Linked DNA regions of Cricetulus griseus. Each later gene encodes a partner of the first gene's protein in a complex. Links are inferred from orthologs where the notes say so. Each region holds a gene or a part of one and is shown on either strand. Other genes may lie near its edges.

Region 1 (4,278 bases):
CAACCTCTGTGGATCTGAGGTGATACCGCGGTAAAAAAACAAAAACAGTGTGATATCTGTGCCTCTCAGGGAGCTCTTAAAACTATTAAGCCTGTTGAGACTAGGAGGCGCCCTTTGCTGTCAAGCCAACCACTTCATCAACAGCACCAGAAAGATCAGTAAGTAATGAGCTTCAGCTTCCAGTGAGGGCTGAGCAAAGCTGGCCTTGGGCAGTTTGCGGGTTGCCAAGTCCCTGTTGCGGCTGAGCAGCTACCTCAGGGTTAGAGGTCAACTCCTCTTCACACAGCTGGTAGGAGGGGGATGTGGTGGTGGTGGGGGAGTGGCGGCCGCAGGATCTCGCCCAGCTTTGAGCCCCTCAGCTTGCAGGAAAAGGTTCAGCATAGAGGCCATTGTTCAGATGAGAAAAGTCTTGGGAGGTGGGTGGGACAGGAAGAAAGTGGGGGCGGGCGCAGCTTTGTTCTCGGTGTTCCCTGTCGGGATAGGAGAGGGACCTCGGGGAAAGCCAGTATTAACCCCATATGCCACCTTCTGCAGTTCCTTTTCTTTGCCTTCCGTCCCTCTCAAGGATCTTCTGAGCCTGTGCTAACCGAACCCTTTGTGTTGGGTCCTGAAGAATGCATAAGAGTTCCCCAAGGGATGAGCGAATTATTATTATTATTATTATTATTATTATTATTATTATTGAGACGTAGTTTTCCTGTGTAGCTCTGGCTGACCTGTAACTCAGAGAGATCTGCCTGTCTTGCCTGCCTCCCAAGTGCTGTAATTAAAGCAGCACACACGGTTCCTAGAGAGGAGTTCTTTACTAATCCATATTTGAGACAAAAAGCTAGGCGTGGGAGACACTCTGGAGGAAGACACAAAGTTGTGATCCGTGAAAACTGGACACACAGACTCGGTAATCTCTGGACATTGGCAAAGATAGTGGATGTGGGGCCCGGAAGGGATAGGGAATTGTCTCTGGCATTATGAGAATGTGCACGTAGCTCAGTCGTGAGTGGAAAACAGCCTTCTCCAAACCACAGCCCTGCTTTCCACGCTGGAGACCCACCCCCGGACTACAAGTCCCAGCAGGCCCTGCACAAATGCGCATGCGTCATTCCCCCCCCCCCCCGGCGAGCCCGGCGAGCCCGGGGCCCGGTCCTTGCCCATTGTCTGGCGAGCAAGGGGCGGCGCGGTACGGCGGGCACGCTCACGTCTTGGGTCGGGCGGGCGGGCGTCCTTGGCGTCCCGCGCCTCCGTGCAGGCCCCGCCCCGCGCCTCAGGACCGGCGGGGCCGGGCGCATCCCGCGGCGGTGGCGGCGGCGGCGGCGGCGGCGCGGCGGGCACAAGATGATGAAGTTTCGGTTCCGGCGGCAGAGTGCCGACCCGCAGCGCGAGAAGCTCAAGCAGGAGCTCTTCGCTTTCCACAAGGTGCGGCGGCGGGGGCGGCCAGGGCGGGCCACGTCGGGCGCCTCTGCCCTGGGAGCGCCGCGCTGCTCGGGCGTGCCTGGTCGGGGTCTCAGGTTGTGCCCCGCGCTGCGCCGTGCGCTTTCTGGCTCCTCTTGTTTCTCTGCTCCTGGGTCTCTGAACCCCTGGTCTCTCCCGGGTGCCCCTTGGGCTCACTGGGGTCCCCCTGGCCTATCTGCCTTTTACTCTTGGCCTCTTTTCTTTCATTTTTGGTAATGTGGCCCGGCTCGGCCGAGGGGCACCCAGGGCCAGGTTTTGTTTTTCTTCAACTCCTGGGCGGGCAAGAGTGGGAGAAGTGGGGGGTGGGGCTGGAAAAATCCCAGTGCGGAGCTTCCACCCCTCTGTCCAGGCTCAACCCTGTCTTGGGGTCCCTAGTCTAGGAGATGTGCTGGTCTGTGTGCCCAGCTGCATTTTAAACCATAGATCCTCAGTTTCCCCCACGCCATGAAACGAGGCCAGTTTCCTCCTTGTGGATTCTGGATCTCCCTGAAACCAGGCCGGCCTGACCTTACTAAAGTTGGAAAGATGTGAGGCAGAAGGGGCCCCGGGAAAGGCCTCACTCCTCACCTTCCCGGCACTGAACAATATAGAGCCCTGCAAGGCTAACTCTGATCTGGAGTGATGGGACTCGGGTTGAATGTTACTTTTATCGAAGAGCCCGTATGTACCCCTGCCATTGAGGATTTGATTTCTCATTTCCATTACGTACGTGAAAAAAATTGAGGTTCAGTAAGGAGTGGGCCGCTTATTTTTCTTGCCTTGTTGTGTGATGACAATGGAGTAGGGACCCAGAGTTTTGAAGCAGCTTCTACCGTCCTGAGCAGAGCTTAAGGACCTTGGACTTCTCTTAGGAGATATGTTTCAGGGGAGGTGCTGCCATGGCTCAATTTTTCCTGTTGCGGTCCCAGGCAGCAATGATGGGGCTGCCAGGATTCACAGACACAGTAACTGAGAGCCTACCAAAGACCTGAGAGGAGAGGAGAGGCTCCCCAGATGTGAGCCTCTGCTTTTGCTGGGGTGACCATGAGAGTGAGCCCCTTGGAGCAAGAAGAAGGATAGGTCTTAGCCAGTGAATGGAGGTGTATAAGGGACCTGCACAGATGGGGTGAGGCTCTGAATCAGCTTGGCTCACCCTGGCTGGCGCTGCAGTGGCAGCAGTTGAGGGTGAGGCACAATTTGAGTGGGCAGCAGAGATAGGAGAGAGGTTATCTTGGGGAAAGGATTTGATTGCCAAAGGGGGTGTTAGGAGATCCCTAGGAAATAGGCCCCAGATTCTTGAGTTTGGGGTTGTGGTCAAAGGTGAACATGGACTTTTACCCTGGGTGTTGGGTTCAAGCCCAGCTCAGACCAGGAGTTGCCTATAGGATGTGCATCTCAAGCTGGTTTAATTTGGATTCCTGCCTCGTGTTGCTAGGGACACAGTGGAATCCAAAAGAGACAACTCTTCATTGAAGGGATGGTGTATGCATTGGGAAGAGGATGAGAACAAAGATCCAAAACAGAAAAGTAAAATATATAGTAGTTCACAGGACTGGCCGGTGCTGTGGATAAAACATGGTGTGATGAGGGTGTGGGAAGTGGCCCTGGGATGATGGTGCAGGCAGGACCAGCTAGGGAGGCCTTTTAGAGCTGGCCATTTAGGAGTGCCAGGTAAAGCACAGTTTGGTGGGGGAGGGGGCAGGAGTGTAGAAGATGTCAAAGCCCTGGCAAGCGCTGCTGCGTAGCAAAAGAGCAAAGGCCTTTGGAGTGGGAAACAGGTGAACTGAGATGCCCAGAGAGCGGCCACATGGTGAGGAGTTGGCTTTCACTGTGGATCAGCAGGGAGGAGGTAGGGATGGCTGGCTGGTTTTCATAGGTGACTTAGTGAGCACTGGTCTAGGCAGGCAGTGGGTAGGCCTGGAGCAGAGTGTGAGAAGGTGACTTCTGTGTGTCTTAAGGTAAGACAATAGGACTCAGGAATTGATCGGAGGTGAGATGCAAAGGACAGACACTACATAAGGGATCTAGCCTCTCTTCCATAAATGAGCCTGCTGGTGTCTACTCAGGAGTATGGGGACTTGCCATGCTGCCACCATGCTCTAGTGTGTCCTGGACACTAGACTGTAAGTCCGAGGCTAACTAAAGGAGGTCAGATCTGGACACGGCATGGCATTGCTCCTGAGAATAGGAATTCCCTGACCTTGGTGGCCCTGCTCTCTTTGGATGGGCTCACTGTCACTGCCAAGTAGAAGCAGGATGGATGGAGTACCATGATCAGCCCAAGACTGCATAGTTAGGCCCTGCCACACCAGCTATTCAGATTACTGTCCCCCATGTGGATGACCTCTTTTATTTATGTATTTATTTTTGAAACAGCATCTCACTGTGTGGCCTATGCGGTCTTCTAGCTCAGGATCTTCCTGCCTCAGCCTTCCAAATGCTAAGATAACTGTGTGCTACCAGACCACATCTGACATCTCTTGAGGGTAATCATGTCCCAGCTACATGGGTGGGAGATTCGTGATTGGTGGGCCAGTGGGAGAAAGCATATCACAGGAAGGGGTAGATACTGCAGCTTGGTGTGTAGGGAAGGGCACTGGACCTGGTTCACAAAGAGCAGAGAAGCGTCAGCATCAATACCAACAGTGCTCAGGACCCCGAATGCTATCCCTGCTTCTGATGGCGCTGGGATTCTTATTCTCTGGCTCTCTCCATGTGGGGAGATGGACAGTACCTTCAGGGTCAAATGGAAGCAGTAGTCCCAGAGTGTTTTGCCCATGTAGCCCTCTCCTCCCTTGCAGACTGTGGAGCATGGCTTCCCCAACCAGCCCAGTGCATTGGCCTTTGACC
Region 2 (4,454 bases), on another chromosome or scaffold:
TATTTTTCAAAAGCAAACCCTCCTTTATTAAAGACAGTATAAGGGAAGGGGAGTCTACTTTCTAATTATGTGTGGGATTTGTTATCCTACTTATTTATTAAGTGTCCTTGCTAGTGAGTCATTTTAGTCTCATCAATGTTAATAAGCAGCTGGCTGTAATATAATCACCAGTTTAGATTATTGTTAATAAACACATAATCTTAATGGCTGACTCAGAGAACAGAAAATGGTACAGTTTAGAGTACTGAGGTTGTCTGTAGAAGAGGCTTGGGGAAAAAGTACTATCAGGACATTACTATTGATTACAAAGCACTGAAGACTTGCAGTCATTTGTGTCTTTTTTAGTAAAATTTCTTAAATTTTAGAAGATTGTCTTCAAGAAATTTTAAACAGACACATCTTATATCCATATTCTCTTTTCTTTTTTTAAATAATTGGAGCAATAAATAAAGATTTCTTTTCAAAGAAAATTTGGAAATTATTGATATAATGTGCCTATTTATACTTGTTAAACTAATAAAAATATGGAGAAAATGAAAAAGCATTAATTCCTTGCTCTTTCATCGAGTCCCTGGAGGCTAAGAATAGTAAGTGAAAAACTAAAAACAATAGCTAAACAACAAAAATCTGAGAGACAAAGGAAACAGAAGGTATATATAGTATAGAAAATTATATACACTAATTTTCATCTTTTAGTCTAAGTAATCAATAAATATTATCTAAAGATGATAACCCAAGAATTTGTTTATGTATATGTGTGTGTCACATGTATGGGGTGCCACAGTGGCCAGAAGAGGGTACTGGGTCCCATGGCACTAAAGTTACAGAAAGTTGTAAGCCACCTGATGCAGGTACTTCAAACCCAATTTGGCTCCTCTGGAAGAATAGCAAGTGCTCTAAGCGGCTGATTAATGAATGCAACTTTTAGAATAATAAATGCAACCTTCAGAAGAACCACAAGTTAACCATCAACAGTAGAGCCTGTGGAGACTGGAGAGTTAAAAGACACACTTTATTTTACACCTGTACACAATATGTACTTTCCTAGTATGTCCCTGGATTCATATTGACTCTGGTTTGTTAACCTATCAATAATCAGGCAGTTTTTTAAAAATCCACCGTACTTCATCCTCTGCACCTAATAGCCATGGACTGTCAACTTTGAAAATGGAGCACTCTTTAAAGCAGTGGTTCTCAACCCCTTTAAGCAGAGATCAAAGGACCCTTTCACAGGGCCATCTAAGACCACCAGAAAACACAGATATTTACATTACAACTGGTAACAATAGCAAAATCACAGTTATGAAGCAGCAATAAAATTAATTTTATGGTTGGGGATCACCCCAACTTGAGGAACTGTATTAAAGGGCCACATCATTAGGAAGGTTTAGAACTAGGGTTCTAAGTAAAATATCTATTAAATTATCATAAAGTTGTGTGATTTGTCCTGGAGGGGGGACTGTGGTTCTTTCAATCTTGCAAAGTTTGTTCATGTCTAGCCATGAAACAAAATGGCTAAAGCGGCTATGAAAACTACCAACTTATATTAAAAAAACTCACAAGAAAAGAAATAACGAAAATGTGTTTGGGGGATTGTTTTAAAGTCATAACCTCTCTCGCCTATATTTTAACTAACAACAGTGCTTACTGTAAGTCCTACAAATTAGTCCTGAAATCAGCGGATGTTACAGAGGCTGGCCTCCAAGAGTCTAAGGCCTTTTGTGAAAGCATTAAGACATGGAGCTCCAGTGCTCTTTGAAATGAAAACAAGAAAGCAATCCGAAGGTCTGCTATCTTCACTGATCCCCTCAGGAATGTAAAAGCACGCATAGCACTTTTAACCTTGTGGTACTCCAAGTTTTTAAAAGCAATCTGCCTAGACAAGCAGTTGGGTTTTCTGTTAATCCCTACTTTTCAGTCCCCATGCTCACACTCACTAGTGCTCCTCAATGATCTCAAGCCACAAACCGAATTCAAAGAAAGGGAAGAACTTTACGGTAAGTCATGATAGAGAATTATTTGATGCAATGATCTCTTAGAACTGGATTACTTTTGGCAGCCACATTAATTTAAAGGCCTGGTGACCAACTGAGCGAAGAAAACCACAGGAGTTAAAGCTGTCTTCTCACTTTTCCATATCTCTCACTAAAGAAGGGCTTCCAAAATGTAGATCAGCATATTTGCCACTAAATTCTGACCATACCTAAGGAGCCAGGGCACATCCTAAAAAAAAAAAAAAAATTTGACTTTAGTATTAAATTTAATTCCTATACTGGCTATATGACCCTAGTCCAGACTCACTTCATGAACTCTCCAACGGCGAAGGGCAGATACAAATCTGGTTTACAAAATCGGAGGCTTCAGGCCTGTCGGTAATGAAGAGAGCCAGCTAACAGGAGCAGTCCAGGCTTCCGAACCCACAGCAGCACCCTCAAAATCCTCAATCCACCCAGTTGCAAATCTCTCAGTCAGCTGATTTGTTCTCCCCTCCGGGTGCACCTACTCTTCTCCACTGACTCCTTGGCGACCTACGCTCATTCGTCCCGGGTGCCACCAACCGCGCCCCTCGCCGCCCCCACGATGGCTCGTGCCCCACCACCAAGACCCTAGCCCGCCAACCCGGGCCGAGCCCGCCCACGCCCGCGCGGTCACTCACCCGCGGTAGTAGGCTTTCACCCGGACTTGGTGGGAATGGTCCCCGCCGCCGACGCCCGCGACCGTGTGGGACATAGTGCTGCTGTCCCTCTGGGTCGGCATCTCCTCACTCCCCCGCCTCGCCGCCGGAGGCCGAGGGGGCCGGGGCAGTGCCGGGCGACGCGAGGGAGCTGGCCGCCTGAGTGTGTCGGGAAGCCGTGGGCGCCCGCCTCGCCGACTTGCCCGCCTTGCCCGCGGCGCTGCGCGAAGGGTCGCCTCGCCGCCACAGCCCGAACCCCGACGCTCCTCCCGCCGCGCTGCACAACACGCCTCCCGCCGCGGCTCCTCCCACCACGCTCGCTCCCAAGGCCGCATACCGCGGCGGGCGGGCGCAGGAGCTGCGGAGCCCCGGCGCTCTCATCCTTACGGGGGAGGACAGGGTAGCAGCGGGAACGGGATCCGCCAGTCTACCACAAGACTATATGAAAGGGAGTAGATCTTGGAAATTCAAATAATTTCTAAAATTCAGCTTTTAAACCGAAATTTTCCTGCGAAACATCTATAGGGCACACACATGCGTAGAGTTGATCCCCCCATTCTTGTACTTGGTCGCGTCCTCAGCGAGCCTGCTGTGCTTCCTGGATGGATTTGCTGCGCGCGGGTTTCTGGGATTTGGAGTCCCGGTGGGATTCTGGGACGTGCTTCTTAAGTATAGGGAGCCGCGTTTTCTGCTTCTATCTCCTGCTTCCTGGGATTCTAGGCATGGACATCCTGAAAACAGCTCGAGTATCTGAGGGCATTGGAAACTTGGCTTCTTCACGATTTAGATTCTGTTTTTAGGTAAAGTCTCCATGCCAATTTCATCGATCACTGAAATTAAACAGTGCCACTTGGGGGAACAAGATTTGATTACCTGCTCAGAACACTCTTTTTATTTTTTCGAAACGGTTTCTCTGACTGTCCTGGAACTCGCTCTGTAGGTCAGGCTGGCTTCGAACTCACAGAGATCCACTTGCCTCTGCCTCCCAAGTGCTGAGATTAAAGGCGTGCGCCACCACTGCCCAGCTCACTCTTTTATTGGGAGAATGTAATGATATAGGTAGCAAAAGCATTAATGAATGCAACGAAAGAAGACACTAAACTGGGAGATATCATACAAGAGATTTCCTCAGGGCCCCCATACCCAGGCCCCCTGTATACTGCTGTTCTATGGAACCAAGTGCCCAATGAATACTTAACTAGCTTTTCAGTTCATTAGCGTTTGTTACTGACACTAGCTAACAGAACTAGAAATAATCAATCATTGTAATTTACTTTCAGACTTCTTCAGGTATTGGCTGTGTCATGTAACCTACTATACTTAAGGCAGCTTGAATCCAGCCACCCAGTCAGCCCAGATAGCAACATATGTAGAGTTGAAATAATCAAAGATAGGGCTTTCTTTATAGTCACAAATTACACTTGGGTGCTTAACTCATGAGAGCTATATGCATGACACTTAATTTGGTATGGCATCAGCCAACAGTCACAAATTTGGAGTATATGAAAGTTCCCACTAACGTATTCTTTTGACAATTAGACATGCATCATCCTATTAAATATGAACTGATTACTATCCACTATAAATTATAGCTAAAACAAGATGGTCAAATTTTTAATTATTTTTTATGTGTGTGCACCACATGCGTTCCTAGTTCCTGAAGAGGCCAGAAGAGGGTGTCAGATCCCCTGGAGCTGGAGCTACATAAATGGTGACCTGTATTGGGCTCTGGGAATCTAACCCAGGTTCCCAGGAAGATTAATCAGTGCCTTATAACTAC

What was found.
Region 2: the proteins of Llgl1 (region 1) and Prkci are in contact, whole or in part, in a cryo-EM structure (PDB 8R3Y), measured with the Homo sapiens proteins. The link is inferred for Cricetulus griseus from reciprocal best matches to the Homo sapiens genes LLGL1 and PRKCI. Residues at the interface, in NP_004131.4 of Homo sapiens: Ala315, Asp319, Glu367, His391, Ser392, Ala394, Thr396, Glu453, Cys483, Glu484, His485, Phe506, Asp507, Pro508, Tyr509, Ser510, Asp511, Pro513, Gln518, Lys519, Lys569, Ala600, Val601, Thr602, Leu644, Gly648, Pro649, Leu650, Ser651, Arg652; in NP_002731.4 of Homo sapiens: Asp339, Met341, Gln345, Arg348, Leu381, Asp382, Met399, Thr412, Phe413, Cys414, Pro417, Leu425, Glu445, Gly449, Arg450, Ser451, Gly457, Ser458, Ser459, Asp460, Asn461, Pro462, Asp463, Asn465, Thr466, Glu467, Asp468, Tyr469, Leu470, Phe471.

Annotation. Positions count from the first base shown.
Region 1 is NC_048600.1:74,695,149-74,699,426, forward strand, and holds the start of Llgl1 (lethal(2) giant larvae protein homolog 1), read left to right. Parts: upstream 1-1,258; 5' UTR 1,259-1,332; coding exon 1,333-1,413; intron 1,414-4,229; coding exon 4,230-4,278. UniProt on the Homo sapiens protein: Cortical cytoskeleton protein found in a complex involved in maintaining cell polarity and epithelial integrity. Involved in the regulation of mitotic spindle orientation, proliferation, differentiation and tissue organization of neuroepithelial cells.
Region 2 is NW_023276806.1:119,648,475-119,652,928, reverse strand, and holds the start of Prkci (protein kinase C iota type), read right to left. Parts: upstream 2,954-4,454; 5' UTR 2,758-2,953; coding exon 2,657-2,757; intron 2,367-2,656; exon of another isoform or gene 2,307-2,366; coding exon of another isoform or gene 2,302-2,306; intron 2,153-2,301; exon of another isoform or gene 2,138-2,152; coding exon of another isoform or gene 2,130-2,137; intron 1-2,129.